Linked DNA regions of Notamacropus eugenii. The protein of the gene in region 3 purifies or fractionates together with the protein of the main gene of each other region. This does not show direct contact. Links are inferred from orthologs where the notes say so. Each region holds a gene or a part of one and is shown on either strand. Other genes may lie near its edges. The genes, in order: ASF1B, ASF1A, HAT1 and NASP.

Region 1 (7,014 bases), on a different chromosome or scaffold from region 3:
AAAGGGCTATAAAATAGTGCAAACCCTTTGACACAGAAATAACAATACTAGGTCTGTATCCCAAAGAGATCAAAGGAAAAGGAAAAGGACCTATGCGTACAAAAATAAAGCAGCTTTTTGTGGTGGCAAAGAACTGGAAATTGGGATGCCTATCAATTGGGGTACAGCTGAACAAGTAATATAAGATTGTGATGGAATACTATTGTGCTTTAGGAAATAATGAAAGGGGGTGGTTTCAGAAAAAATATGATGTAAAGGGAAGTGAGAAGAACAAGGAAATCATTGTGCACAGTAACAAAGTTATAACTGTGAAAGACTTGGCTACTCTGATCAATACAATGATCTAAGATAATTCTAAAGGATTCAAGATTAAAAAATACTATCCACCTCCAGAAAGAGAACTAATGAATATTCTCTTTTATTTTTCTTGCTTTAAAAAATAATATGAGTACTATGGAAATAGATTGTGCAATATAAAATTTTCTAATTAAAAAAAAGATGAGTGAGTGGGGACCACTCACAGAGGTGGGGGATGGAATAGTATCACCTGTTCAGGCAGAGGGGCTGGCCTTGGTAAGGAGTCGGATCCCCTTAGGATCTGACAGGTGAAGGAGATAGTGGCAGAACTATCTGAATGATGGGAGGTGAGGAAAAAGGGAGAAGGAACTTAGGGAAAATGGTCTTAATTTTTTTCTGTAAAATATGAGGCAAGGATCTCAACTGAGAGGGGTGGGGAAGGAGGAGCCATGGAATGTTTGAGGAGGGAGCTTTGGAAGAGAAACTGTGGAGTAGGATAAAGACTTGATAAGGGAGGTATAGAAAGATTGCCTAGCAGCAGTGAGGGCCCAGTTGAGGTTGTAGAACATAAATTTGCAGTAGACAAATAGTTGTGTAATTATAAAGTTTAATGATTTATAAAGTTTAAATTTCTTTAAAATTGTAAGCAATTATTGTCCCAATTCTACCACTTATATTTCCTCTCTCAGGCCCCCAATATTCAAATGAGGAGGTTGGAACATCAGATCTTTCCAATTGAGTATCTCCTTCCTTTCAAATATTCCTAGAGTACTTTGAACCTTCCTTTGCCCCATTACATTCTACTTTGCATTACGCTTTCTAGTCTACCCTATCCTCACTTCCAAGTAGACCTAAGTTCTTTGAAGGCAGAGACCAATATTTTTAAATATATATTTTTTTAAATTTACTTTTAGTTTTCAACATTCACTTTTATAAGATTTTGAGTTCTAAATTTTCTCCCCCTCACCCTCCTCCCCAAGATAACCTGCAATCTGATATAAGGTATACATGTACAATCATATTAAATATATTTCCACATTGGTCAGAGTGTAAAGAAGAATTAGAACCAAAGGGAAAAACCAGGAGAAAGAAAAAACAAAAGGAGAGAGACACTAGTATGCTTCAATCTGCATTCTGATTCCATTGTTCTCTGGATGTGGATAGAGACTGGTATTTTTAAACTTGGTATCCCAGTACAGTACTTATATGTACTTCAATATTTAAAGTACTTCAAATATTTTTCATCTTCAAATTTTCATCTTCAATTTCAGGTACCTTTCATACTTTAGGTCATGTTAGCCAAGATCTGTATGGTGCTTTAAAGTCAGAAGAGTACTTTACACACATTATCACTTGAGACATTCCTTCATGCAATAATTTATTAAGCATCAATTATGACCAGGGTCTCCCATTGCATCCTGAGCCATCTCCAGTCATCCTGATGAATATCAGGCCACTGGAGTCAGATGGCTCTGGAGAAGAAAGTGAGGCTGATGACCTTGCACAGCCCTCCCTCACTCAAATCAAAGTCAACTGCAAGTCATGTCATCATCTTGATGTCATGGTCCTCTTTGAGAATGAAGGACAAACACACAATGTACACAAGGCACAACTGTCCTGTGAAGAAGTGAGCTAAGTACTATTACTGCATATTACAGATGAGGAAAGTGAGGGTCTAAGATGTTAAATGATATGCCCACTGTCTCACAACCTATGTCAGAGACAGGATTAGAACTGAATTCTTACTGACTCAGTCTATACCATTCCATCCATTCAACAAGTATCTGCTAAGCGCCTACTATGTGTCAGACACTGTGCTAGGTTCTGAGCTCTAGGCACTAAATGTCAGTATCCTTAGCCTACTATGAGCTGGGGATTCTGCCAGGGGCTCTCAGCAGAGTGACTGTGGAGCTTACCGAGGTATCTGGCACATAGCAGGGGCTTAAATATTAGTTGACTTTAAGGAAACAAAGATTCACTGCTTTCAAAGAGTTTTCAATCTTTTGGGGAGAGACAACTCATACACGAATAAATACAAAACATACACTAATGGAGGGAAAGGATTAGCAAAGTGGGGGATGGAGAGGGGCACACATAAAGATTGGCCTCTTCCAGGAGATGACACAGGAGTTAAGCCTTAAAGGAAGGGACATAAAAGATGGAAGTGAGGGACGAAAGCACTCCAAGTTTGGGGGGAACCTATGTAAGGTCATATTGAGGGGAGAAAAATCACATTTGAATCTGTGTGGTAGATGACTGGAGAGGGGAAGAGACTCGTGACTGGGAGACCAATGAGGAAGCTACAGCAGGAGTCCAGGCCAGAGGTAATGAGCTTCTCTACTAGGGAAGTGGCCTTTGTGAAGGAGACTGATGGGAGGCAGATGCCAGAATGGAGATTTGGCCGGATCTGGAGAGTTGACAGCTGACTGACCATGGAAGGGAAGACAGACCGACTCGTTGAAGACTCCCACGTGTGATTCCAAGGGAAAGTTACAAGAGAAGTTCTGGACCGGTGGAGGCAGATACCTACAAGGCATCCTTTGCGTAAGTTAAACAGGCCTAAAATTCGAAATGCTGGTAGAACTCGGTGAAAGGAGCTCTGCGGTCACTGCCTGGGCTCCAACTGCCGCTACTGCACTTGCTTCCTGCGTGACGCGATGGGCCTGGGCTGGGATCCAGCCTCCGTCCAGAACAGTCCGTGTGACCTTGGGCCTCGGCTGTAAACACAAGGGGTGGGACTAAACCATCTCTGAGGTCTCAGCGGCTCCAGACACGGCGGCTATCGGACGTTTCCGCGGGCCGACCCCGGCTGCGGCACGGAGTGAGCCGGAGGTAGAGCGAACACGACTACCGGCTGCAGGCCCCGGAGGCTCCCCGGGCAGAAGGCTGGGCTTATCCGCCTCTCCGCCCAACCGCCCACGACGCTCACAAGGGGCGGAGAACGTCAGGCGCGACCGAAGACGGTGCTTGAGTGTAACCGCCGCTTCAGCACACTACGGGTTCACCTTCCGCCTGCTCCCGCCCCCTCAAGACCGGCTTGACCAATCCCCTTTGGGCACAACTCTTCTTTCTCCTCCCCCCTCTGTCAATCACTACGGGAACCCGTAGTGTTCCGCTAGCGCCTCGCGCCCCCATTCGGCAGTTAGCGGCTCTGCTTCCTCTCCCCCGCCCCCTCCGTACACCGAAGGGAAAAGGAGCGCAAACGGAAGGAAAAAAGAGGCGGGGACGAGCGCGCGTCCCGAAGGCCGTCCCCTCAACGCCAATTGGTCCCAGGGATCCCCGCGCTCACTCTGCGCTCTGCCACAACGAGTCCACTGCTGAGGCGGAGGCGCCGGGGATTGGCTGGCATCAAGAAGAGAGAGCAGTCACGCTGGGGCGCCAAAAGAGGGATGATGAGCGCCTTAACACCCCCCACACACCTCCCGCCACACACACCCGTCTATCCGCGCAGAATCGGGCGCGCGCGTGCCGGCGAGGGAGGGCAGCCGATTGGCTGGGAAGAAGCTGAACGCACTTCGACGGGCGACTGCGTATTGGCCCCTAGAAGCTCGCGCTGAGGAAAGCGTTGGAGCGGATTGGCCGGGGGGCGGGTCCGGCTATTTGAAGGGGGCGCGGGGCGGGTGAAGTGGGGGAGGGGCGGGGAATGCCGCCTCATTCTGGTGTGGAAACCGCGCGGAGGGGACGCGAGAGGGAGAGCGGAGGCGGCGGCGGCGGCGGCGGCGGCGGCGGCGGCGGCGGCGGCGGCGGCGGCGGCGGCGGCGGCGGCGGCGGCGGCGGCGGCGGCGGCGGCGGCGGCGGCGGCTGCTGCTTGGAGGGTGTGCTTCGTTCCTGCCCCCGCGAGGCCATGGCCAAAGTTTCGGTTCTGAACGTGTCGGTGCTGGAGAACCCGAGCCCTTTCCACAGCCCCTTCCAGTTCGAGATCAGCTTCGAGTGCAGCGAGGCCTTGGCCGACGGTGAGCCCCGGCCCTCCCCTTCCCCTCGGGATCTCCCAGTCTCCCCCCGCGCGTTCCTGACGGAGGGGACTCCTTTATGCTGACTCCCACGAATCGGGCTCCCGCCCCGCCCCGGTGGGATGCTAAAGCTTCCCTCTGGTATCCGCCTGCACCTTAATAAAGTGTTCTGTTCTTGGTCTAGTAGAATATAAACGCGCTGAGGGCAAGGGGCCTGTCTCTCTTGGATATTTGCCTCCCCGCTCCCCGGCCTGGGTGGTCGGCGCTTAGTTCAATGTTTGTGTTACCCTAGGCATGGCATTTTAACCCTCGGAGCCTGCGATTTCTCCTCTGTGCTTTTGAGATGATGATAGCGCCCACCAGGCTCCTTGGAAGCTTTAAAATGAGCCATAGAGAAGCGAGCGCTCGGGGCCACTGAGGCCCCGTCCATCTCTGAGGTTCTGGACTTAATATTACTGCAAAGGATTTTGTGTCAGCAGCGCTCTCAAGTAAGCCTGGATATCCACTCTTCTGCCTGGTACTGCTTCCAGCCTCCGGGAGGTTATCCCTGTTACTCTTCCCTCATTCATTTCTGTGGCCCTTTTCCACCTATTAGAAGAAGGGTTTTAATGAAATCCGAGATGGCTTCTTCCTGGATGACGTCTCCAGTCTACCCCCAACTACGCCTGATCTTTCTTGCTAGAAAGTGGTTCCTAAATGCCCCAGTGCTTGGACAATTCTTTAATCTTTCCTACCCTACACTTTTCTAGAACTGCCTGAATTAGTGTGGACCCCTGCCCTGTATCCAGGGGCTAGCTGTTACCTGGCTTGTTCCTAAAAGGCCATTTCTACTGCTCTGCTACTAAAGTAGTAGAAAGTTCCATGAGTTGAGAGTCTGTTATTTGAGAGTAGCAATAATATTTAAACATTTCATTTATATGGTGCTTTAGAAGTTTGCAAAGAATGTTATATATCTCCAAAAATGTGCTTTTAGGAGAGGGGGCTATATGGTTTTGGGAAGATAGGTATCATTTAAAATAAGTACTTGGTAGGTTGTAATTTTGCATCCCCCTCATGAAAGTACTTTTAAAGATGGTCTCATTTAACTGAAGAATATTAAAGCCAACACCATTTTCATTTTCCAGATGAGAAGGCTGAGACAGAAAAAGTAAGGTTCTCTCCTTTGAGAAAAGGTGTTCTACATATTGTACTAACAAAATGGTCAGGGTTACTCAGTGAATCTCTGTGAATTAGGAATAGACTCAAATACTCTTAACTTCCATTTTACTCTTACTAGACTATCCCTTTGCCTGTGGGGATAGCAGAATTTAATAAGGCAGAATATAGAAAGACAGAATTTAAAATCCAGGGGGTTTAGCCACTAATAAGAGCATCTTTGCCACTTGGATTAACTTACTTCAAGGGCCACACACTATTCATATAGGCCTTAGCCTTTATTATGTTTATAGTTTACAGTTTGAAGAGACTAAATTCTTAGTTAATTTGCTTAAAGTCATATGGTGAGGTGGAATAGTAATTACTAGAATTTGGATCTCCCAGCTGCTGACTAAGTGTTCTTCATTCTTGTCATATTCCTGAAGTTGGAACACTATTACCATTCTTCTCTTTTAAAAGTATGGCATAAAATTTATGGTTTAGGAAGCCTGATTTTTTTAGGTTGAGAACTAGAACTTGATAATTCCATAACTGAATCTGTTAGTGATTTGATTACCTGGGAAATTTGCATTTTCCTGTTGAATTACACTTTTTTGCTACCTTTTGCACAAAATTCTAGAGACTAGAGAGAGGGCATACTATTGCTTAAAGGGCTTAAGAAATCACAGCTTGCCAGTTTTAAGACCTAAGAAGCCATATAACAAACTGTTAACTGATCCTCTTTTTCCCTGACACAAACCATTTTTCACCTCTCACTTAATCCTGTCAACATTCCATAAAGCAACTAAAAACAACTAAAACAGCTCATTTTAGAAATCGAGCAGTTTACTTTATCCTTTGGTCCAGGATTCTCCTGAAAATACAAAAATTATAGGCCACAAGTTGTGGAACCCAGGTGTTTAGAAATAGATCTACTATACTCAGATACTCCTAAAGTTTAGCGCTGTTTTGTGGTTTTTTTTTTTAAACTGGATGTAACTCAGTTCATAAACTGAGACGGCTACCTCAAGACACAGGTCCATGAACTTGGGTTTTTGTTTTTAATTTTGATGACTATTTCAATAAAGCCAGTTTCCTTTATAATACTAAGCATTTTATGTATTTTCAAACATTATTCTGAGGTGTCCATGACACAAAAAATTAAGAACCTCTGCTCTAGACTCCAGTTAAATTGAAAAGGTAGAAAAGCACATAGTTGCTGTAGAAATGAGGAACCTGGTGTTATAGGAAAACCTTAGCAAGAAATTATCCAGGATGCATTTACCTAAGATCAGAACTCCTTCCTTAAAAGGGTACTGTACCAAGTATCTTGTCCCAAAGTAATCACATTCTGTGGAATCATGGCGCCTGAAAATTTTCCCAGGCATCTTGAGCTTAGGGTTGTGATTTTAAGATGTCTAAAACATTTTCAGGTTAGTTGCCAAATCCTTCTGCATTGCTATAACTTTGCCCTGAGTATACTTGGAACTCAAGATACTTGCTTTGGTTGGCACTGTCATTCACAGGAGATAACTGACCTATTGAACAGTTATGGCTCATTTCTCTTGAATGTACCATTGGGTGAAAGGAGGTACTGTTAATGTATATTAGAAAACTGGGGTTTAAGTGTAAA
Region 2 (7,751 bases), on a different chromosome or scaffold from region 3:
AAACTCAATATATTCCATTTCCCAACTCTATCCCTTTGCGCAAGCTGGTGTCCCATGTCTGGAATGCATGTCCTCTTCACCCTCACCTTTTAGAATCCCTAGCTGGTTTCCTTCAAAGCTCAACTCATCTGGCAACCTCTTGTGGGTAGGACTTCATGATTTTCATAATTGCCTGTATTCTCTCCTTTCTCAAAATATATCTATTTATGTTTATATGTTGTATTTCCCTAGAACATAAAATCCTCTACGGCTAGAACTGTTTTTTGTTTTATCTTTGAATGCTCAGTACCTAAGCCAAGTGCCTTGGACAGAGTAAGCGCTGCATAAAAGGTTGTTGAATTAGACTGGATTAAAGCCTAATTGTTCTGAAAAAATGGTGCTATGATGAAAAAAAAAACAGGTTATGTACTTGCCCTAGGTCTTAAAAGAACCCTCCCAAGAGACTGAGGGGTAGGAGGCAGATCCTGTCTCACATGAGCAATTGCTAGATTGAGGTTATTCAATAAATACAATCTTTTCCCACATGTGGTGAGTGTATCTGTTGTGGTTAATTGAGTCTTTGATGGGAAATACACAAAGAGCTATTACGTTTGCTTACCAATCTGAAATATCATCAAGCTAGCCTCCATCCATCGTATTAATTCATTCTTCTCCTCAGTCCTCCACTTTCTTCCCTCCCAAAAATATCCATAGATTTATTCTAACAAGTCTCACAAGTATTGTTAGCTTTTAGGTAAGTAGCAAAACTTACCAAACACCACCAAGAAATAAAAGTGCTTACAAATCCTTTGTTGTTCTGAAGAAAGAAATTTTAAAATGTTGTGGCTCCCCTAAGGGTTAAAGGAGTTGTTTTTTTGGTCATTCCTTCATTTAGTAAAGGTTTCCTGAGAATCAATGCACAAAGTATTGGGCTAACTTATAAGAGATCACTTAGAGTCAACACAGAATAGGACAAGATCCCTTTCCAAAATGGACCTTCTAGTATAATGGGATAGATAATACACTTACAGAAATAACCTTCTTTTTGACCCTTTGTTTATTGAATTTTGAATGGGGAGGGGGATGGTCTTGGTTAAGAATTCAAGAAAAGCAGGTCTCTGAAATCCTCAGCCCATAACAATTAGGGCAACTAGGTGATGAAAGGGATAGATGGCAGGGCCTAGAGTCAGGAAGACCAGAGTTCAAATATGGCCTCGGATACTTACCGTCTGTGTGACCTTGGGCAAGTCACTTAGTGTGCCTCAGTTTATTAGAAAAGGAAATGGCAAACCACTCCAACATCTTTGCCAAGAAAACCCCAAATGGGGTCATGGAAGAGTGGGACATGACTGAAAATGACTCAACAACAAATGATAATTAAGAAAGAAAATAGAAAATCTGGGCCAGTAAGGAGCTGGTATTATAGAAAGATGCCAGCTCACTATGATAATCAGTGTGATCTTCAAGAAACACAGGAAATGTGCTATCCTGACACATCAGCTGAGAAGTAATGAAGGGAATGGGTTGAACTAAAGTTGAGCTATTCTGACATTACTCAAAGGGAGCCAATTTCCCCCACTCTCCACCCTACATAAGCATCATAATGGAGTTTTATGACTTAATGAGACTTCTTAAGAAGGCTGAGACTTTCCCATCAAGTTGGCTTTAAGACAAGGCTCTTTTCCAAGGTAAGATTACAAAATTCATTGAGTTGGATTTCACTCTATTTTTACCTAGTTCATAATTTTATACTTATAAAACAACAGGGAGGAAGCATAGTACCAGAGGAAACACTGGCTTTAGAAAAGGATGAACTGGATTTGAATTTAAGCTCTGTGGGACAAATCATTTAAACTCTCTGGGTCTCGGTTTCCTCTTGTGAAAAAGAAGGGATGTATGTATTGATAATGCATTTCTGCTTATTGTTAATGTAATTTTGCTTCTTAATGGGACGATCTTTCCCATCCATTAAGCCTGAGTCACATGAGTCTAAGTCATATGGAACAGGAAGGGTAGAACAATAAGAGGTGGAGCTAGAGAAAAGGTGAGAGGAAGTTAATCAGAGAGCAATCAGAGCTGGGAAAGGCTGCAACTAGTCGGAGTGGGAGAGCTCGTTTGTGATTTGTTTAAGAGACCTGGTTTGTGGGAAGTCTAAGGAGGGAAGGCTTAAGGATGGTAGTGCCCCCTGCATTGTTAGTGTGTATAGATTTCTTGGTTACTGTGATGGATTTGGCTTTCTGGTGCTGGGGATTTGGATTTTTGGTGTCTGAATAAATGTTTTGGTTCTGTCTTCCATGTGGAGAGTCTGTTGTATTTCGAGATTCAGAATTGCGCTAGCATATTCAGGCTGCCATAGGCGCTGTGAATATCACATTGGCGCTACAAGAGATTGGTCTAGAATCAAGATTCATAGATTAGGGATTCTTCAGTATGAGTGTGGTGGACCTTCCATTGGCAGTTTGGTAAAGACTATGGGGCCCTTCTCTGAATAATATTCTCAAATACTTGAAGGAAATGTTAAATTTTCAGTAAAAATTAAAGTGTAATTTTTTTTTGTCAAGTTCCCCTAACTGTAATTTCTATCCAAAGGGGACCAAGTACCCCAGATTTGATCCTATACTCTAAATGATGTCTAAGGTCTCTTCCAGTTCTAAGAACATGATCCTATGACATAGAATTTCCCTTACAATCACTATAACATTTTAGAAATTTTATTTACCATTAATAAGACATTTACAGTAAGAAAAAAAATCATTTGCAAAGTGACATTTTACATATATATTCAGGGTATCTTTCTGCACAGAGGGCAGCTTCTACATTTATCACAGTTTTCTTATGTCAGCTTGTCAACAAAAAGGAGGACTATTATTCATATGAGTCTATCATCAAAACATATAGTACCATTTGCAGTTTGGTTTCATTATTCTGACCCATATGCTGTATGTAATAACACCAGGAGGAAACCATTTTGGCTAATTTTTATATGTGGCAGTTAAATTCTTTTGTGACACACTCTCCACTAAGCACCAAATGGAACATAACCTACCTTACTTTCTAGGCTGTGAGAACCAAGATATGGATGAAGGAAGGGATCCCTACTTCAAAAGCCAGATCTTTGGAATTAAAAAATCTTGCAAAGATCATCACAATTCTTTGTGGGTATGAAGAATAATATCTATTTAAATTCAAAGACATGCATTTTTGCAAAGAAACTGCCAGAGGGTTTTGGAGCTAGAATGGGTCTTATGGAAGATCTAGTTTATTACTTTGGAAGACTGTGTGTGAAATGTGAATTTGGAGACAAAGGGGCCAAGTTTGAATCTTGATTTTTTTTTTTACTTACTACCTGTGACCAATGTGACGATGGGCAAGTCTCAATATTTCTGGAATCATTAATTTCCTTATCTTTAAAATGATGCAGTTATACAAGATGGCTTCTAAGGTCTATACTTTTAATGGGCTAATTTCTTGGAGAATAGAGAATAAATCTATGATTTCCTTGATATAAGGAATTCTTACATGGAGGAACTTCTAGGTTGGTACCTTCTCTGCAATTTCTTGTCTTCCAGAGTTGCCTAGCAGAAGGAGAGGTTAAGTATCCAGCGTCCCCCTTACCAGTATGTCAGCATGAGGACTAGAACCCAGGGGGTTATAACTCTAAACCCAGGATACTTTCCACCAAGCATCCAGTAGGATATGTATGAGATTATTTTACTTTAAATTGAACTAGGGCTGGGTAGTTCTTATCATGAATATTTTAAAACAATAGGTGCTTTGTGAATGGAATAAATGAACACTAATTTTCACATTAGTTTTGCCATATCAATAACGGCTAATAAGTTAAAAATGCTAAAATCTCACAAAACATATGATGATTATATTATAATTATATTATAATATTATATATTAAGATTAAAAAGCCCATTTGAGCAACAAAGGGCTACAAATGAAATCAACATTTTCACTCATTGGACTGGCTTTGGCCATGCACTGGCTCTTTTAACTGCTTCTGAGGGTTAAAAATATGTCTAAAAGTACTAACAGTTTGCATCCCAGATTTTGAATTACATCTACTGGCTGAAAATGCTTGTCTTTTTTGCTTTTCTCATCTCTCCAATTTTCCTCCTTTCCCCCTTCTAATTTTCATCCCCCCCCAACAAAACATTGAGATGAATCTCATTCCATCTCTAACTTTCCATTTAGAAAATGCTTTCTAGAACTGGAAAGACTTGGAGGGGATTCTCAACTTGGGGGGGCTGTGAATTTGGATTACATTTTTTTTTTGATATTTCAAAATATTTGGATTCCTTTGTCATGTTACATATCTTATTTTAGGCATTTACAACAAGATTCTGCAAAGGAGGCTTTGCATAGGCTTTGCCAGGCTGTCAGTGAAATGAGAAAAGGTTAGGCACTCCTGGATGGGAGGCCCCCTGAGACTGGAGAGGATGGTAGTTCTGCAGAGCTGCGAGCCTCAGGACTTTAAGTCAGGAAGGTGTCTTGTTTGCTAAGACGTCATGCACACTCACAAGGCACTTCCCCCACGCGTGTGGATATTCCCCTAGTGTATCTGGGCACACTGCTCTGCTGCCCTGGACAGAGCCCTTCCATCTCAGAGGAGAACGCCGGCCTTCTCTGCTCTCCTCCCCCTTCCCCTTCCCTCCTCCCCCTTCTCTTCTCCCCCTCCCCCTCCCCCTCCCCCTCCCCCTCCCTCCTCCCCTTCCCTCTCTCTTCTCTCCTCCCTCCCCCTCCCCCTCCCCGCTCCGGCCGAGTCCCCTCCCCTCCCCGATCCCGGCTGACTACTGGCCGACACGCCCTACGTGCGAGGAGCGTGGAAACAATCCCGGGGGCGGGGCTTCCCGGCCCTCCGCGGCGCTCTCCGCCTCTGGGCCGCCAGCCCGCTCGGCTCTGCCCCGCTCGGCTCCGGAGGAGCCCTCCCCGGCCTTCCTCCCCGGCTGCCGCCCGGCTCACTTTGTTCTCCGCCTTTGTCCTCGGCTGCGCCAGCAGGTGGAGCAGCCGCGAAGCCTCCGGAGCCCGTTCGGGGGAAGGGAGCCCATCTTGCTCTCCCGGAGCAGGAGCTGGAGGAGGAGGAGGGTCAGAGCTCAGCGTGCAGCCAATCGGGGCCCACGCTGCTAGTTCGCCGAGCAGAATGGGCTGTAGTTGAGGGAAATAGCAAAGCTGCAAAAACACTGTGGAGTTGTTTCCCGGTGTAAATACAAAAAGAAGAAGAAGGGGACGCGACGACGAGGAGGGAAAGCCGACCAAAAGTTTCCCAAGTCGCCGCCGCCCGCCGTTGGCCCGGGGCCGGTGCTGGAGCGGGGGCTGCGCCCAGCCAGAACACGTTGGACTCGGCGGCGCTGCAAGAACACCCCCTTCCTATTGTTTGTGCGGGGTTCCTCTGCCTCTCTCAAAATATGGCAAAGGTTCAGGTGAACAATGTGGTGGTGCTGGACAACCCTTCTCCGTTCTACAACCCTTTTCAGTTCGAGATCACGTTTGAGTGCATAGAGGATCTGTCGGAAGGTGAGTAGCGCGGGTCCCGCCAGGGGGGCTCCGGCCCGGGGCGCTTCTCCGCGAAAACTTTCCCCAGGCCTGGCGGTTCTTTTCTTCTCTCCCTCCGCTCCTTCCCAGCCTTAGCCTCCGCCGCATCTCAGGGATGGAGGAGAGGAAGGAGGAGCAGCAGGAGGATGGGCTGCTGCAGACCTGCGGCTTCCGAGGGGCCGGCGGGGCTTCGGCCGGGGCGCGCGGCGGCCGCTGCCCCTGTCCCTGCCCCTGCCGCTGCCGGAGGGAAACTTGGAGCGGGTGCGTTTCGCTACTGTGCCCTTCGCCCCGGCGGGGAGACCGAGGGGGAGCGCGGGGAAGCCGCCCGGGTTCCCACCGCTGCCTTTTCGCGAAGCCGGGCTGAAGTTGCAAGTAACTTGTTTGAGTGGTGGTAGCCATGTTGTCAGCTTTGTCTGGGTGTGGGAGAAGGGTTAACGGGAGGAGAGGAGCCCCGCGGCCCCCCGCGAGCCTCCGCGCCCCTCGGCTGCTCCCACGCGGGGAGCTGGCTCGGCCGAGCCTCCAGCGGAGACACCCGTGAAGGAGAGGGGGCAAGACCCCCCTGTCTGCACGGCCTGGGACCGGGGGGAGCGGTGGAGAGGAGGCTTTTTAAAAAAAGAGCTGAGCCTGGTGTGTGCGCGTGTCTGCTCGCCGGAGAGTTCGAAAACGGAGCCATCTTTTACCCCCGGAGCCCCGGCGTCCCCCGGGCACCTGCCCACCTCCCGACTCCCACTGGCCAAGGCCAGCACTCGCTTCAAAGTTGCACTACTTCATTCCGGGGGCCCTGGCTCCTCCTAGCCTAAGCAGAGCGGCAGGAAAAGCCGGGGCAAGCCTTGTGCCTTCCTCTCCGGCTTCCTGAGTCGAGTGGGAGGCGGGCACAGGCTCGGGCATCCACACGCTCCCTCCCTCGGAGCTCTTGCCCCTGCCCACCCCGGCGGAGGGCAGGGTGCCAGGCAGCCTTCCCCGGGGACTCTGACAGCCGCACAGAATTCGAGAGGCTCTGGAGGGAATCACCTCCACGCAGGATGGCCAGGACAAGAGGGACTCCGGGATGCTCGAGGAGAGCTCTCTGCCAACGTCCGAGCGCCATCAAGGCTAGTTAACTGTTAGCACTAATAACTCTGGGAGTAATCATTTTACAAAACTCTTAAAATGACTTTAGGAGCAAACGTTTTCCTGGAGGTTTCAGCACGCTCCAGAGTTAGGTGGAGCGCCCTGGCAGGACTCGCCGCGTGGGCTGTGCAGACCGGGGGAGAGCGCCGGAGCTCTCCCGGCCACCTTGGGGTGCTGACCCCATCGGCAAACGCGAAGCGAACACTGCCCTTCCGCAGACTCGTAGTGAGAGGACAAGGGGGTAAGGGAAGACACGTTTGGAGTGCAGGCTTGAAGTAGGACCATAGGATTCAGAGGCCTAAGGGAGCCCTAGGAGGAATCATTTAGGCCAGCGCCCCCCCCCTTACAGATCAGGAAACTCAGCCCAGGGAGGTTAAGTGACTTGTTGTAGTGAGCATTTATTTTAGGGGCTTAAAGTATTTTATTTTTGAAAGAGGAAAATTTCATTATATTTATTTTCATCTGTATGGTATGCAGAATATATACCATTTCAGATAGCATCAAATTTACCTTATGGGTCTTTTAAAAAATGTTCTCGAATTTTTTTGTAATTTTTAATTTCCAAAATGTGAAAATACTATTTCAGATTTGTTACTGATGTACTACATTGTAGGTGCTAAATTTTAATTGAGAATTATTTTGAATTTCTCATGTGGACACATCAAAGTAAACTTCATAAAGTATCTTTTCTCTTGATTATTAACTAACATTTCCTGATGTTCTCAAACTAGTTGTTAATCTTTGTGTACAGCTCTTTGAACTTGATGGATCAAGAAATGGGCCAGGTTTTAAAAGTTAACCATTAAAATAAAGCTAAATAATAGCAAAACACAGGATTGCTTTTCCGTTTTCTCATTATTCAAAAGTACCTTGTTCATTTTGGACAGCTGTAGCCTCTTAGCCACCATCAGCATGAAGTATAAAGCAAATGAACAGGTTAAAAAGGGGGGTGCAGGGAGGAATTGTCAGGAATAAGTGTTACTTATTAGTTCAGTATGAGTTCCTACGTCATAAACATATTTTTGGTGGTGCCTCCTACTTTAGGTCTCAACTTATAAGGATTATAGGAGCTCAGGACATGAATGAAGAGCCTCTCTAGGTCCATGGTCTTGGAAAGCACT
Region 3 (7,905 bases):
CTGAGGCAGATTTACAACAATCCAAATCACTCCCCAACTGATAAATGGTCAAAGCATATGAACAGGCAGTTTTCAGAAGAAGAAATTAAAGCTATCTATAGTTATAATAAAAAAATGCTCTAAATCAGATTAGAGAGAGGCAAATCAAAACAACTCTGAGATACCACATCACACCTATCAGATTGGCTAACATGACAAAAAAGTGAAAATGGTAAGTGTTGGAGAAGATGTGGGCAATTGGAACACTAATTCATTGTTGGTGGAGCTGTGAGCTGATAAAACCATTCTGGAGAGCAATTTGGAACTCTGCCCAAAGGGCCATAAAAATGTACATACCTTTTGTTTGATACCACTTCTAGGGCTGTATCCCAAAGAGACCATAAAAATGAGGAATAGATCCACATGCACAAAAATATTTACAGCAGCTCTCTTTGTGGTGGCCAGGAACTAGAAACTGAGGGGATGCCCATCAATTGGGGAATGGCTGAGCAAGTTGTGGTATATGATTGTAATGGAATACTATTGTACTATAAGAAATGCTGAACAGGTGAACTTCAGAAAAACCTGGAGAGACTTATATGAACTGATGCTGAGTGAAGTGAGCAGAACCAGAACATTATACACAGTAACAGACACAGTGTGTGGTGATTGATTTTGATAAACTTAGCCCTTCTCAGCAATGCAAGGACCTAAAACAATTCCAAAGGACTCATGATGGAAAACGCCATCCATATCCAGAGAAAAAACTATGGAGTCTGAATGTAGAGCAAAGCAGACTAATTTTTTTTGTTTTGTTTTGAATTTTCTTTCTCATGGTTTCTCCCATTCGTTATAATTCTTCTATACAACATGACTATATGTCACAAAAATATGTTTAATAGGAATGTATATGTAGAGCCTATATCGGATTGCAGGCCATCTTGGGGAGGGAGGGTAGAAAATTTAAAACTTATGGAAGGGAATGCTGAAAATTAAAAATACATAAATTAAGATTTTAAAAGTCAATAAAAATTACCAAAACAATAACGTCAGCAAATTTCCAGCATATAAAATAAGTCTGCATAAACAATCAGAATCTATATATATTATCAACACCCAGAAAGAAGAGATTGAAAAAAGAAATGGCATTCAAAATTACTACAGAAAGCATAAACTATCTAGGAATTTATCTACCAAGATACACAAATCAAAACAGACCTAAATAACTGGAAGTATATTAACAGCTTGTTATCAGAATGAGCTAATAAATATAATATCATCTAACTTAATTTTCTTCTTTGTGTGTGTTCATCCTTCTTTGTGAAGAAGACCATGCCATCAGAGAAATAATGACAGGACTTGCACTTGACTTTGTTTTGAGTGAGGGAGAGCTGTGCAGGTCACCAGCCTCACTTCTCCTCCAGAACCATCTGAACTCAGTGACCAGATATTCATCAGGATGACTGGAGACGATCCAGGATGAGGCAGTTGGGGTTAAGTGACTTGCCCAAGGTCACACAGCTAGTGAGTGTCAAGTGTCTGAGGTGAGATTTGAACTCAGGTCCTCCTGACTCCTGCACTGGTGCTCTATCCACTGCCCCACCTAGCTGCCTAATTTGCTTATTTAAAGTTGTACCAAATGATTACTATATGGAAGTATACAAAATAACAAATTCATATGGAGGAACAATACATCAAGAATCTCATGGGAAATAATAAGAAATAGTAAGGAAGGAGACCCAGGAATACTATATCTCAAACTACAGTAAAAAAAAAAAAAAACCCAGTAATTTTTAAAAGAAATTAGTATGATTAAAAAATGAACTTAGGGGTCTAGTGTTTCATAAAACTTTAAAACATCAACTAGGCATTAAGAATTTTCTTATGGGAGGCAGGTAAAGGCAGACATTAATGCAACGTTAATGTTTCCGAAAGAAGTTTCAGCCCACGAGGCACTTTTATTCTACACGGGAGGCCGGTACCTACACTTGTTATAACGGTTTGAAAACGTCCACCACAGAGATAAAGCCAAATCGAGGCAGACTATCATCAAGTGTGGAGGCTGGAGAAGGCAAAGCAGGGTCAATACAACATAATATACTTGGGGGGAGCTTCCCCTCCCCCGCACTGGTACCCTAAAAGGAAGTCCAGGGATTGGGAGGTGCACAACATCCCGCTTCCCGACCTACAGGCAAACGGGGCTGAGAGACCCTAAACTGAAGCGGCCTCCAGGTGAGAGGTGACGACAAGCAGGTCCGACAGCGCGGGGCAGGCGGTCCCAAAACCGCGGGAAGAGAGGCTGGGCGGGGCCCTCGGCCTGGGAGGTGTCGCTGTCAGCCGGCGGAAGGAGGGGCGCTCGCGACCGAACTGACGAGGAAGGGGGAGGGGGAGGGGCAAGACGAACGCCGGGCCAAAAATGCCGAAGGGGTCGGGCAGAGGAGGGAGCCTCCCGGCCAAAACCTTGCCCTCCGCTCTCCGGCTGCCCCGGGCACGAACGGCCCCGATGGCGCCGAGGTCTGGACCGGGACTGGAGGACGAAAAGGAGAGACGCGCAAGGGAGCGAGAGCTAGAGTCCGGAGCTTGCCCTCCGACGGCAGGGCGCACAGGACGCTGTGACCACCCCTCTTCCTCCCACCCCGGGCCGGCTGGGGTCTCCGCCGCAGCCACCTCAGCATCCCGTCCCAGGGCCTCCCCGCCCCCTTTCCCTCTAGGCAAACTTTTCCCGGGAACTTACCCGCCATTTCCGTGCAGCAGGCTGAAGCGGCCGAGGAGAACGAATCAACCCGCGCGCTCCCTGCCCGGAAGTGAGCGCACCGCAGTGACGTATTTCCGCCCATTCCCGGAACGGCCGGCGGGCTGCAGAGCGAGCGTTTAGAGCGCGCGGCCGGCGGACTCCTGGGGCGGAAGCGCGGGGGAACCGAGCGGCAGACAGCCCGCTGTTGCTTAGCAACCAAGAGGGCTGACCCGCTTGTCCTCTAGCGAGGCGAAGCCGGAGGTCAAGGATCCCCAGCCCCTGACGAGTGCTAAGAATAGTCGCTGCTCTTGAGGAGTTTGTGAAGGGCTCATTTGAATAACCCCGCCCCCCTCGGGAGGGCTTACTTTCGGCCTCTGGCGTCCGTTCTGAAAACCTGGTATTAATGCTCTCGTCCCCTTTCTCTCTTTAAAGTGGGCCACCGCAAAATCGTAGAAGTTTACTCTGTCTCTTCTTTAAACTGTCCCCTGTAAGGCTCAAAGCTGACATGCTTTTGAGGGGGAGGGGGGAACTCTTACAGCAAACGGTAAACAAGCCCGTAAGTGAACCGGTACCTGTAAGTTATATGGATTTTTTTCTCCATAAATTCACTGTGGGATCAATAGGAAACAGTGCATTGAAGCGATGATTTCTGGAGTAGTTATCTAAGCAGCGAGCACTATGAAGTGCTTACGATGTGACAGGCACAACAATGTGTTGTGCGGTTCCGAAAGGCTTGTACGACAAAAGAGGTAAGACCCTGGCAGATCTGGGGCCTTGGGCTTCCTAATATTTCATAGTTGTAGGTAATTTACTCTCCTGAAGAATGACGCTCCTTTAAGAGCCCTGAACGTTGTTTACGAAGGAACGACTTTTCTCAACTATTGGTATGTGTCAGTCATGCACGAAACCGCAGATGGCTTTAAGGACCGAGACTTGGGGGTATCAGGAGAGGAAAGTTTCTTTAACTACTTCCCCCCCCACTTTTGAGCTTCATAAGAATTCTGTAGCCATGACTAAAGCTATGAGACCAAAGCTAGAATCAGAGCAAGGTTATTGAGGATCCTCTTTTGCCCTTGAAATCATATACTTCCGTGGAGGTATCATTGAATAAAAAACTGATCACAATCTACTGCAAACCCCATCATCCTGTCTGACTCTCATTTATATTCTTCCACAGATCCTCCACCGAGAATCTACCCAATGTGCTGGGAAGGCCTCCTCTAAGTCAAAGGTTCTTAACCTCGGGTGTGTGATTAAAAAACCAACAACTAGGTTTTGATAACTGTATTTCAGTACAATCGACTTACTTTGTAATCATATGAGTTTTATTTTATGTATTTAGAAACATTATCCTGAGAAGATGATCATAGGCTTCACCAGACTGCCAAGAGACACACACACACACACACACACACACACACACACACACACACACACACAAAATGTTGACAACAGGTATTCAGGTATTTTTACTTACATTAAAAGGACTACTAGTACAGCACTTAAACTGTCGATCTGTAATCCCTTGCTTATTCTACAGGATCAGCCCATCTCTTTTTCTGAGTTTACATTTCCTGAATAGCATCTCTTATAATGCAAAGAGCCCTGGAGTTTTTATCCGAGGACCTAGATTCCAAGACCAGCCCTGCAACTTGCTGAATGACCTTTTGTAAATTAATCTCTTTAAGCTTTGGTTTCTTCAACTATAAAATGAGAAATTTGACCTCTCAGGTCCCTTCTAGCTCTGTGTTATAGTTTTGTAATCTAGATTTTATACATAGGGAATTGTGTGTGTTCGTCCTGTGTTGCCCAAGAAGACCATGCCATCAGAGAAATAATGACATGACTTGCACTTGACTTTGTTTTCAGTGAGGGAGGGCTGTGCAGGTCACCAGCCTCACTTCTCCAGAGCCATCTGAATCCAGTGACCAGATATTCATCAGGTTGACTGGAGATGACCCAGGTTGAGGCAGTTGAGGTTAAGTGACTTGCCCAAGGTCACACAGCTAGTGAGTGTCAAGTGTCTAAGGTGAGATTTGAACTCAGGTCCTCCTGACCCCTGCACTGGTGCTCTATCCACTGCACCACCTAGCTGCCCCATATAGGCCATTGTGAGTCAAAAAGACAAGGATGTTATCATTATTATATAAGCAAAATGTTGACCCCCTATAAAAAAATTTTAAATTCTTTGCAAGTGGCAAAGCTCCAAAAGACATATCAACATTTTAATTTTGGTAAAAGCACAACTGTCACCAGTTTTGAGGTTTATATATAAGAAATCATTAAGAAGAATTAGTGTTTTCATTGCACTAAATCTTTAAAAAGATGACCAGAACTGTGAAGTTAGGGTTTTAGGGAAGAAATAGTAAATACTGGTAGTAGCAGCTACCATCATTTATATGTTTTTGAAGGCAGTTTCTTTATAAAAACCTGCAATGTAGATAACTAGTATACATCAACCCCATCATGTTGCTGCCCTGCTTAGTAGTAGCTTTCGGTGTTACCCATATTCTTTAGAATAAATACAGACTCCTTAGACTGGTTCTTAAAGGTCTCCAATCTGGTGTCAACCTACCTCTCCAGTTATATTTCTCATTGTTCTCCTTCATTTGCTTTAAAATCCTAAGAAACAGAACTGCTAGCTGTTCCTTGATTTCAGCTTTCCATTTTATGCTTTAATGTATTTGCACAAGCCTTACCCCATTCCTGGAATGAATTCTCCATCACTGCTTCTCAGACTCCATTTTTCTTCATAGCTCAGTTCCAGTGCTACTTACTCTGTGAAGTCTTCTTCAAGTTTCCCATTGTTGGTGGTTTCTCCCTCCTCAAGCTTCCTTGTATTAATTGTGTATATTAATAGAATAGAATAGTAGAATGCAAGCTCTTTGAGGACTGGGACTTTCAGTTTTATCTTTACCCCTTCAGCAACTTTCACAATGCTTTGCAAATAGTAGGTACTCAAAAATTATATGTTGACTTGATTTTTCCAGTAAGGAAATTGAGACTTAGAGTTATTTACCTAAAAAAGTGGTAGAACTGTGACTCAAACTCATATTTTCTGCATATAGGTCCAGTGTGTTTCTGACATGTTGCCTCTAATGTCATGTAACACATTTATTCACTGAATTAAAAACAACAGTATCTACCTAGCACGGTTTCTTCTTACAGGGTCAAACAAAAAACATCACCGGCAGTAGCCTTTACAAAATTGCCATATAGGTGTTAGGTACATAGTATACTCTGAAGATAAAAGAATTTCTTTCCTCACAAGGCTAATTAATAGTAAAACTGTTAAGAGCAAAAGTGCAAAGTACATTATGAAAGTTAAAGCAATAAACTATATGTTTATAATAGTGTTTCAGTAGATGTTATAGTTTCAAATGGAATTTGTATTTCTTGTTTTAAGAACTGCCTCTTTACATTTTGGGGGGCATTTTATCTATTGGAGAATGGATCTCATAAATTTGGGCCAATTCCTTGTTGATTTGGGAGGTCAGACTTTGGTCAGAAATGTTTGTTGAAAATAGTCTTTCATCCCAAATCTGTTTTTTTTTTTCATTCTAAAAATTAAATTTTATTTTAAATGCATTACTTTTTTTTTTTTTTTTGCTGTACCAGACTTAGTATATGAACACCATCTATTTTTGTTTCCTGGGATTACTTCTACTTGAATAGCTTAAGAATTGTCTATTTACAGTTTCAATTGATTGCATTCCATTATCTTCAATTAAAAAAATATTTAGACAAATTGACCCATTTGGAATTTATTGTGGCATATGGCCAATTGTGGATCCTAAGCTTATTTTAAAAAACTATTCTGCTATCTAATTTTTACCAACAGTTTTTGTTAAATAATTCATTCTTACTCCTTTATTTTGTCATGGATTTACCAAACACTAATCTAGTCGTTTGAATGCATTTGGAACTAGTTCCTGGTTAGCAAATCTATTTTGTTGATAGTTCTGGTAATTATTCCTTTAGGTATAATTTGAGATCTGGTAATAGAAGTCCCTCTTTCCAGTTTTCCCCCTCCATACTTTCCTTTGAAATTCTTGACCTTCTGTTCCATATTAATTATCTTAATTTGCATTTTTCTATCAGCTATTCCTTGGGTTTTTAATTAATATTATATTAAGCCTATATTAAAGTTGAGTAATGTCATCATTACTGTATTAGCTCAGACTAGCCATATACTTTGACTCTAATTAATTGATTCTTCCTCAATTTCTGTAAAAATGACATTATAAGTTAATACCCAAGTATTTGATATTTTCTCATTGTCTTAAATGGCATTTCTCTATCAATTACTTATGATTTTCATTGTAACAAATAGAAATTCTGTTGAGTGCTTCCTGAATAGTGTCCTGAAAAAAAGAAAACTTAGTCAGAAACTTTTATTTAGAGAGCACTGAGCATCACTACAAAACTGAAATTCCTGCTGTCATTCGAGCTACCATTCATAGTAAGCGCCACCTAGGCAGATAGGCCCAAGAGTCTTGGGAATAGCAAAGGCCACCCAGACCACAGTCTTTCTTGCCTCTGGAGTCCCTCAACAATCTAGGGAAATGATCCCCATCCCTGATACCACCAACACTAGGTGTCTTAAGCTTGTTCTTCACCTCTTTGTCACTCACAGCTTTTGAAGAATATGAGAACAAAGTTCTTGCCAAAGTCCTCAGCACCATCAAATGGATCAGTGGATGTATTTTGATGGCAATGACACCAAAGATAAATGCATTACTATCTGCTTTTTTGCTGCGCACTAAAGACCACTAGGCCTTTCCATCTAATTTACAGCTGAAACTTCTTAGGTATTTTTTTCCCCTTTTGTTAGAATATGAATTCCTTAAGAGCAGAGACCTACTTTTCTATTTAAAGCCTCAGCTTTAGCACCCTGCTTTGCTCATAGTAAGAGTTTTATCTTTTTTTTCATTCATCTAATCTAACAGGAAACAGGTTGTTGATGGTGTGTGTTTTGTCCATTGTTCCTGAAAAAGACCATGCCATCAGAGAAATGATGACATGACTTGCACTTGACTTTGTTTTGAGTGAGGGAGAGCTGTGCAGGTCACCAGCCTCACTTCTCCAGAGCCATTTGAATCCAGTGACCAGATATTCATCAGGATGACTGGAGATGACCCAGGATAAGGCAATTAGGGTTAAGTGACTTGCTCAAGGTGACACAGCTAGTG
Region 4 (7,277 bases), on a different chromosome or scaffold from region 3:
TGCAAAGATAGTTTTCAACATTCACTTTTACAAGATTCTGAGTTCCAAATTTTGTTCTCTTCCCTCATTCCCCAAGAGAGCAACAATCTGATATAGGTTATACACGTACAGTCATATTAAACATACTTCCACATTAGTCATGTTGTGAAAGAACGAGATGTATAAAGAATGAATAAACACAAATAAGATTAATAACGATTCTCCAATGGATGAGAGGTCAGAGGACATAAGGACAATTGCCAAGTATTCACAGCCACATGGAAGAATGCTCCAAACCACTACAAACAGGAGGAATGCAGATCAAAACAACCCTGGGGTTTCATCTTGTACCTGGCTAACTGGCCAAAATGACAAAGAAGGGAATAGTCAATGCTGGAGGGGTTGGGGGAAGAGAGGCAAACAGGTGCATTGCTGGTGGAGCCGCGAATCATGAAAACCACTTTGAAAAGCAACTTCTAACTGAAAAGCAAAAAAGTACCTCCGGTACCCATATTTCTGCTGGGTTTCTGCCCCAAAGAGGACATTGACAGGAAGAAAGGCCCTCTCTGTACTGTTTACAGCAGCACTTTTTGTGATTGCAAAGACCCAGAAAGAAGAGATGCTTATGCGTTGGGGGAATGGATAAACAAGGATGGCTCATAAATGTGATGGGATCTTTGTTGTTGTAAGAAATGGGTTGAGAAAAGAGAAACGGAGCGCGCACACACACACATACACACACACGCACACACACACACGCACACACACACACGCACACACACACCACTTTGTGGAGGTGGGAAGTCCACAAGTATTCACGTGCACTGCACAAATGTTCATAATTTTTTGAATGTACTTATTGGTTATGCTGAGTTTTTCCTCTTTATTTTTCTGTCATTAAAAAATACTATTTGTATGGAACTATGCTCAAAGGGCTACAAAAATGTGCACACCCTTTGACCCCGCAATATCGCTACTGGGACTGTATCCCCAAGAGATCATAAAAATGGGGAAGGGCCCACATGGACAAAAACATTTATAGCAGCCCTTTTTGTGGTGGCCAAGAACTGGAAGTCAAGGGGATGCCCATCCATTGGGGAATAGCTGAATAAATTATGGTATATGAATGTAATGGAGTACTATTGTGCCATAAGAAATGATGAACAAGAAGACTTCAGAGAGGCCTGGAAGGACTTATATGACCTGATGCTGAGTGAAAGGAGCAGAACCAGGAGAACTTTGTGCACAGCAACGACTACAGTGTCTGAGACTTTTTTTCTGGTAGACTTGGAAGTTCATTGTAATGCAAGGACATTAAAAAAAAAAAATTCCCAATGGTCTTCTAAGGCAAAATGCCTTCCACATTCAGAGAAAGAACTATGGAATTCAATCGCAGAATGTAGCAGATGTGTGTGTGTGTGTGTGTGTGTATTATGTTTTGGTTTGTTATATGATTTCTCCCATTCATTTTAGTTCTACACAACATGACTATAGTGAAAATGTATTCAATAGGAATGTATGTGTAGATCCTATATAGAATTGTATGTCGTCTTGCAGAGGCAGGGGGAGTTGTGGGGGGGGTAGGTAGGGGGAAAAAAAATCTAAGTTTTATGGTAGTAATTATAGAACATTAAAAATAAATAAAATGAATATATTAAAAAAAGAAAAAAATACTATTTGTTATAAGGGATGGCTCTCTGGGAGACAGAGTCAGAGGAGGAGGGATACTAGCAAAAACTGTGGTGAAAAAAAATCCAAAAGACATTAATATTGATTTTTAAAAAAAGAAAAGCCCACTTCGAGCATAGAATTTGGAACACAAACTTTTAAATGAAAATGTTAAAAAATAAAAAAAAAAAAAAAAGGAAAATGAATCTTGTGATTAAGCAAGGCTTCAATAGGAACCAGCCAAGGCACTTTTCCAGCTACTAAGACCAAGTATCCACTTGTACTGAATTTTGAATCACTGGATTAGTGTATCAATTTAGCCAAAATAAAAAAAAAAAAAGGTGTATTCAGTTATATTGGGGCAGCCAGTGCCTAGCGAAGACCTGAATTCAGTATGACCTCGGGCATTTACTAGATGTGTGACCCTGGGCGAGTCACTTCACCCCTAATTGCCACAAAAACGAAAACGAATAACGATCATCATTATTGGCCAGAGACTCAGGATTGAAGACTTTTTGGTGTCGTTAGCACAGAAAGCATTACTTCATCTTTCACCCTTTAAACATCTATGTTGGCCTCAGCTTTATTTGTTAAGGGTTTACAACGGACAGACCTTGTGCCAAGTGCTGAACGTGCCAGAGCAGACACCGGACTCAAGGAAGCTCCTTTCTAACGAAGGCAGACAGCTCAGCAGGGGGGCGAGGATGGGGGGCGGGGGACACAGCGTGTAAAGGGTTCGTTCTCGTTTTCAAAGGATGCCCATGGGCAGTCTTACTTGTGCCCGCTGTGCCAAGCTGCTCATCCCTTCTCCAACTCTTCTTTTTATCACTCTCCTTTCCAATGCTTTCCTCCACACTCCAGTACACCCAAACATCTTTTAGGGATGGGATCGGGTGATCCAAAAAGTTTGGGGACCCTCCCCTTCGGACTCTGCAGCAGCTAACGTAGCCTGTCCCCTCTCGGGTCTCGCTGCATTCCCTCTTCTGCCCCAGCAGGCTGACCAAAAGTCTCTCGACGCTGGGAGCCCGTTCTGTTTATTTGGTTTCCACCATTCACGTTCTCGTCCCCAAGAAGGCACGCCGCCTGACCGGGCTCCACACACGCACTCCCGCCAGGCGCACCTTCACGTTAGTCCCGCGGCACAGAAGGGTTACAGCGAAGTGGAGAAGCACGAGAAGGAAAGCCAAGACAAGATAAGAGAAAAGAAAGCGGCGGGCCCGCTCCGCGTCCCAGGCCGCCAAACCGCAGCTCGTCCTCGGGAGGTGCCCGGCTTTCCGCCGCAGGAGTGGGGCTGCCCTGGCGGCTCTGCTCGGGGACCACGATCTCCCCTCCCCGCCCAGGGGCCACCCGGACCCTCCCGGGTTCGGCCTCCCCCCGGAGCGGAGCGCTCCAGGGAGGAGGAGTCCTTTACCTCTTCCCCCCTGCCCATCCTCCCCAGTAGCAGGGAGCGCTGGCCGAGTGGGTCGGGGGTGGGCAGGGCAGAGGCTGAGGACGGAGAGAGAGAAAGAAGGGGAGGGGGCGGCGGAGCTCAGATCTCGACCGAGCCCTACTTTTCCAAGGAAGGCACGGCAGAGAGGACAGGAGGGGTGCTGCTGGGGCCTCGGAGTGGGGTGCTAACTCCCTCCAGGGATCGGATGGCCAGGAGGGTGGGGGGATCCAGGGCTGAGGACCGGAGAGGGGAAAAGGACGCAGGAGGACGAGGCAGCGGAGCTGGGCGGCTCCAGGGTCAGGACCCCGACCCTCAGCACGTAGTAAGGGAGAGGCGGGCTGGGGGACTCGGGGCTAAGAGATGATGATCCCGGCGGCTCCAAGGTGTGGGGGCAGTGCGGGGGCGCGGGTCACGGGGGCTTGGGGGGCCCCCGTGAACGAACGCCACCATCTCGCCTCGAGCCGCCCCAGCTCGGGGCACTTTCCGCAGCAGCGCCCATGCTGGCGGAGGGGAAGCCGAGGGCAGGGCCCGGGAGCCCGAGCTCCACGCCCTCCCCTAGCGTCCGGCCCCGGGAGCCCGAGCTCCACGCCCTCCCCTAGCGTCCGGCCCCGGGCGACCCGCAAGGAGCAGAAGAGTGGAGAAGAGAATGAATGAAGCGGGAAGGAGGAGCAGGGAGTTAAAGGGACTGGAGAGTTTCAGCGAAGCGCGCGACGATTGGCTGAGGCCTCGGCTTGGGGCGGCACCCAAGTAGGCCCACGTGAGGAGGAGGCCTCGGCGCTAGGTCGCCAGGGTGCGGGCGACGCTTTGAATGAAGAGCCGCGGGAGCAGTCTCGGCCAATAAACAAAAGGCGTCCTTTGACGTCACCCGTTGCTGAGGCTGGAGCCACTCTGCTCCTCCTCCCCCTCCTTTTCCTGCAGCTCCGTCACAGATCCTCAGGTCGGAGTCGACACCTCTACCAGGAACGAGAGTGTCGGAGGAGGGGAGGAAGCGAGAGCAGGAGGCGGCTCAGGCCTTGGAACCTCCTCACCCCGACCTGGTAGCCAAACGGCGCGTCTGGGGCTGCAGAGCAGACTTCAACTTCCAGCAAGCCTCGCGGTCCCTACTTCCGGAGTCCCCCCCCCCCGGGGGCGCGCAGCCTGCTGGGAGTTGGAGTCCTGGGTCACTACGGCATCTTTCCAGGGAAATGTATTCTCTCCTGGGCTGCGAGCCCGCAAGCAGAGGTAGATCTTTCGCCTCTTACCAGCGGAACCTCCGGTTTCTCCAGGGCGTTCCGAGTCCACAGAGAGCGGGATAGTGGAGGGGAGGGACCCGGGGAGGGCTGCACCTGTGCTGGCCCTTTAAACGCGGAACGGAAGTGAGTGGGCGGGGCCCAGGGCCGCGCTATATAAAGCGGCTCGAGCGACGCGGGCTCTCCAATCTGCCATTTTCTGCTTCGGGAGCTGCGGAACGCCCGGCCCTTGTCTCCCCTTCCCTCTTTTCCTCCCCTCCCCGTCTCTGTCCTCTGCGCCCGCCCGCCTCTGAAAGACCATGGCCACCGAGCCCGCCGCGATCGCCGAGCTCGCCCCAGCCGACAAGTGAGTGGGCCAGGGGCAGGAGCGGGGCGGGGTCTGCGCGGATCCGAGCCAGGGACCAGGGTGGAGGGTGGAGGCGGCCTTCCCTCCCCTCCTTTTCCCTCTCGGCTTTTTTTCTTGGTCGCCCGCCATCTTGCCGGCGCCGCGGCGGTTTCTCCATCTTACCCGCCGGGGTCCCGGGGAGGCCGGTGAGGGGAGGGGGTGCGGGGCACGTGCACGTGCACGCGCATCCCCTCAGTCCCGTGGCCATTCCGCTCCTGGGGATTTGGCGCCAAAAGAAAGCTCCCCTCACGAGGAGCGAGGCTGCTCCGGAGGGGGCGGGGCTCTCGGCGCCTGCGCGGGCGCGTGCTACCGAAGGGGCGGAGTTTCCTGGCGTCTTGGGGCGCCTGCGCAGGCGCGTGTCGTCGAAGGGGCGGGGCTACCGGAAAGCGGGAAAACTCCCATTGTCTGTGGCGGCGGAGGGGGGAGTGAGCTGTGCGCGTGCGCGATTGGGGGCGGAGATGGGGCCGCAGCGCCCGGGTTTCGGGCCTCAGTTTCCCTTTTCCAAAAACGTGCTGGACCCGGCCCGGATGGAGCTGCGCCCGCGACCTTGCACTCGCAGTCCTATTCGTAGTTCAGGTTGCCCCCTGGGACTGGGTCCTTGGGCGTCCGAGGGAGCCGCTCCGGCCGTTCGCTGGGGGAGCTTTGCCGAAGCGCATTTCTCCTGCGGGCCAGGCTGCGCGCGCCTCGGGGTCCCGACTGTCCCCCCGCCGACCCCTCCCCGGCACGGGGTCTGTAAGGCCCCGCCTGATCTCGTGCGAGAGCAGGGTTATGACCTCGCCTTCCCCTCGCACCCCAGGTGTGTGCTTCCTCTGGCCCCTCCCTCTCCTCCCAGAAGCCCCCAGACCGGGGGCGGGGGCGGGGCTCCTGAGAAGCCTGCAGTCCCTGATTGGGGCGGGAGGGGGGCCCGGGACCTGAGACCACGGAGGAGGGGGAGGGGGCCAGGCCGGCCTTTTGTTCGGTCAGTGCCTCCAGCCGAGCTCTGCTCTGGGGCCCAGCCGGCCCGCGTGGAAGACCGAGGGGCCCTGCACCCCAAATAGGGAGGGAGGGGAGGTTGGGGCTTGCTCAGAATGTAGGCCAGCGAGGAAATGTTGGTAGTGGGAGGTGAGAAGCAGCGGTACATCAAAAGAGGGAGGAGGGAAAGGAGCAGACGCCCGGCCTGGCCTTCTGGGGGGCTGCCCGCCTCTTGCCCAAAGTAGAGCAGCCAATAACTTCCAGATAGGAAGGAACCAACAGGGAAAAATGACTTTCTGGATCTGAATCTGACTAACAGGGAACTGGAAGCTGGGGCCAAAATGTTGGAGCAGGAGATCCAACCATGGGAGCTGCTCAGGAATAAAAGCCTCCAGGATAGAGAGAATCTATTCCAATGAGAAGGGAAAACGAGACTTGTCTGAAGCATGATGCAAGGTAGAGCAGGGAAGCAAAGCCAAGTAATGAATGGAGTACACCGCACTCTAAAAATAGGAATGCTAAAGTTTAGAATGAACTGAGACCGGCCAAGGCAGCCAAGAGCAGAAAGGCCTTTTCTAGTTATATTGGAAGGAGGAGGCTCAAAGCAGGAAAGGGACCTTTGCTTGGGGGAGATGGGATGAGTGACAAGAGAAACCACTGAGCTGCTCAGGTCTTGTGTCAGCAAAAACAAAATGGAAACGATGGAATAAAAATGACTGAGGGATGTTGATAGCCAGTCAGTCCTTAGTCCTCACTGAGATGGAGGAAATTCAAGCCCCCAGTGTGAGGCGGGCCTGAAATCTCTGGCATGTATGGGACTGCTGAGCCCCCATCAGTTATGTGGGACATGGGGGAAGTAATCCAAGCTTGGAGAAGGGCAGATGTGAAGGGAGCAGTCAGGTGAACTCCAGGCACATGAATTTGGCCTGGCTTCCTGTGGAAAGTCTGGAACATATCGCTAAAGAAGATGGTTGGTGAACATTGAGAGAAGCCACCCATCTGTCTCCATCAAGCACACGTTGTGCCAGGCCGATTTCATTTCCTTTCTCAATAATCTTACTAAACTCATAGATGAAGGAAATTTTTTTTTTTTGATAAAGTCTTCTTAGACTGTTCTGGTGATGACCTGGAGAGATGGGAATTGGGTGATAATTTAATCCATTGGATGCAGAACTGTGGAGGGATGGGTGAATGGACCCCAGGTTCAGGTGGTTGTTACTGGTTCAGTGACTTGGGTCCTGGGCTATTGAACATTTTTATCAATTCCATGGATAAAGGCAAACTTGGTAGGCACAGAAAACTTGCAGGTGATACAAGAGCAGGGAAGGAGAGCTAACACAGAAAAGACAGAGTGTAGGATTCCTACAGGATCTTGACAGGCTAGAGAGAGCATTGGGCTGATCTAATTAAATGATCTTCATTAGGAGTGAATGTAAAGCCTTATTCTTGGGAGTGACAAATGAGCACAAATATGGAGGCATGAGTAGACTGGAATGGAAGCTGGAGCTGTATTAGAAGGGGCATCTTTCTGGAAGAGAGATCCTTAGTGAACCTTACCTGAAGTCTCGTGTTCAGTTCTGAGCACACCAATTTAATATCATTGATAAGTTGGAGAATATACTAAGGAAGGCAAAGA

What was found.
Region 1: the proteins of HAT1 (region 3) and ASF1B purify together in Homo sapiens (affinity purification with mass spectrometry; 6 studies listed by BioGRID and IntAct, counting the BioPlex papers as one, with this or other methods). This does not show direct contact. The link is inferred for Notamacropus eugenii from reciprocal best matches to the Homo sapiens genes HAT1 and ASF1B.
Region 2: the proteins of HAT1 (region 3) and ASF1A purify together in Homo sapiens (affinity purification with mass spectrometry; 4 studies listed by BioGRID and IntAct, counting the BioPlex papers as one, with this or other methods). This does not show direct contact. The link is inferred for Notamacropus eugenii from reciprocal best matches to the Homo sapiens genes HAT1 and ASF1A.
Region 4: the proteins of HAT1 (region 3) and NASP purify together in Homo sapiens (affinity purification with mass spectrometry; 3 studies listed by BioGRID and IntAct, with this or other methods). This does not show direct contact. The link is inferred for Notamacropus eugenii from reciprocal best matches to the Homo sapiens genes HAT1 and NASP.

The regions. Positions count from the first base shown.
Region 1 is NC_092875.1:76,827,816-76,834,829, forward strand, and holds the start of ASF1B (histone chaperone ASF1B), read left to right. Parts: upstream 1-3,929; 5' UTR 3,930-3,940; coding exon 3,941-4,250; intron 4,251-7,014. UniProt on the Homo sapiens protein: Histone chaperone that facilitates histone deposition and histone exchange and removal during nucleosome assembly and disassembly. Cooperates with chromatin assembly factor 1 (CAF-1) to promote replication-dependent chromatin assembly.
Region 2 is NC_092873.1:200,818,742-200,826,492, forward strand, and holds the start of ASF1A (histone chaperone ASF1A), read left to right. Parts: upstream 1-4,716; 5' UTR 4,717-5,393; coding exon 5,394-5,502; intron 5,503-5,966; exon of another isoform or gene 5,967-6,568; coding exon of another isoform or gene 6,569-6,611; intron 6,612-7,751. UniProt on the Homo sapiens protein: Histone chaperone that facilitates histone deposition and histone exchange and removal during nucleosome assembly and disassembly.
Region 3 is NC_092876.1:233,636,031-233,643,935, reverse strand, and holds the start of HAT1 (histone acetyltransferase type B catalytic subunit), read right to left. Parts: upstream 3,052-7,905; 5' UTR 2,817-3,051; coding exon 2,714-2,816; intron 2,327-2,713; exon of another isoform or gene 2,169-2,326; intron 1-2,168. UniProt on the Homo sapiens protein: Histone acetyltransferase that plays a role in different biological processes including cell cycle progression, glucose metabolism, histone production or DNA damage repair. Coordinates histone production and acetylation via H4 promoter binding.
Region 4 is NC_092873.1:506,735,184-506,742,460, forward strand, and holds the start of NASP (nuclear autoantigenic sperm protein), read left to right. Parts: upstream 1-4,225; 5' UTR 4,226-4,604; coding exon 4,605-4,651; intron 4,652-7,277. UniProt on the Homo sapiens protein: Component of the histone chaperone network. Binds and stabilizes histone H3-H4 not bound to chromatin to maintain a soluble reservoir and modulate degradation by chaperone-mediated autophagy.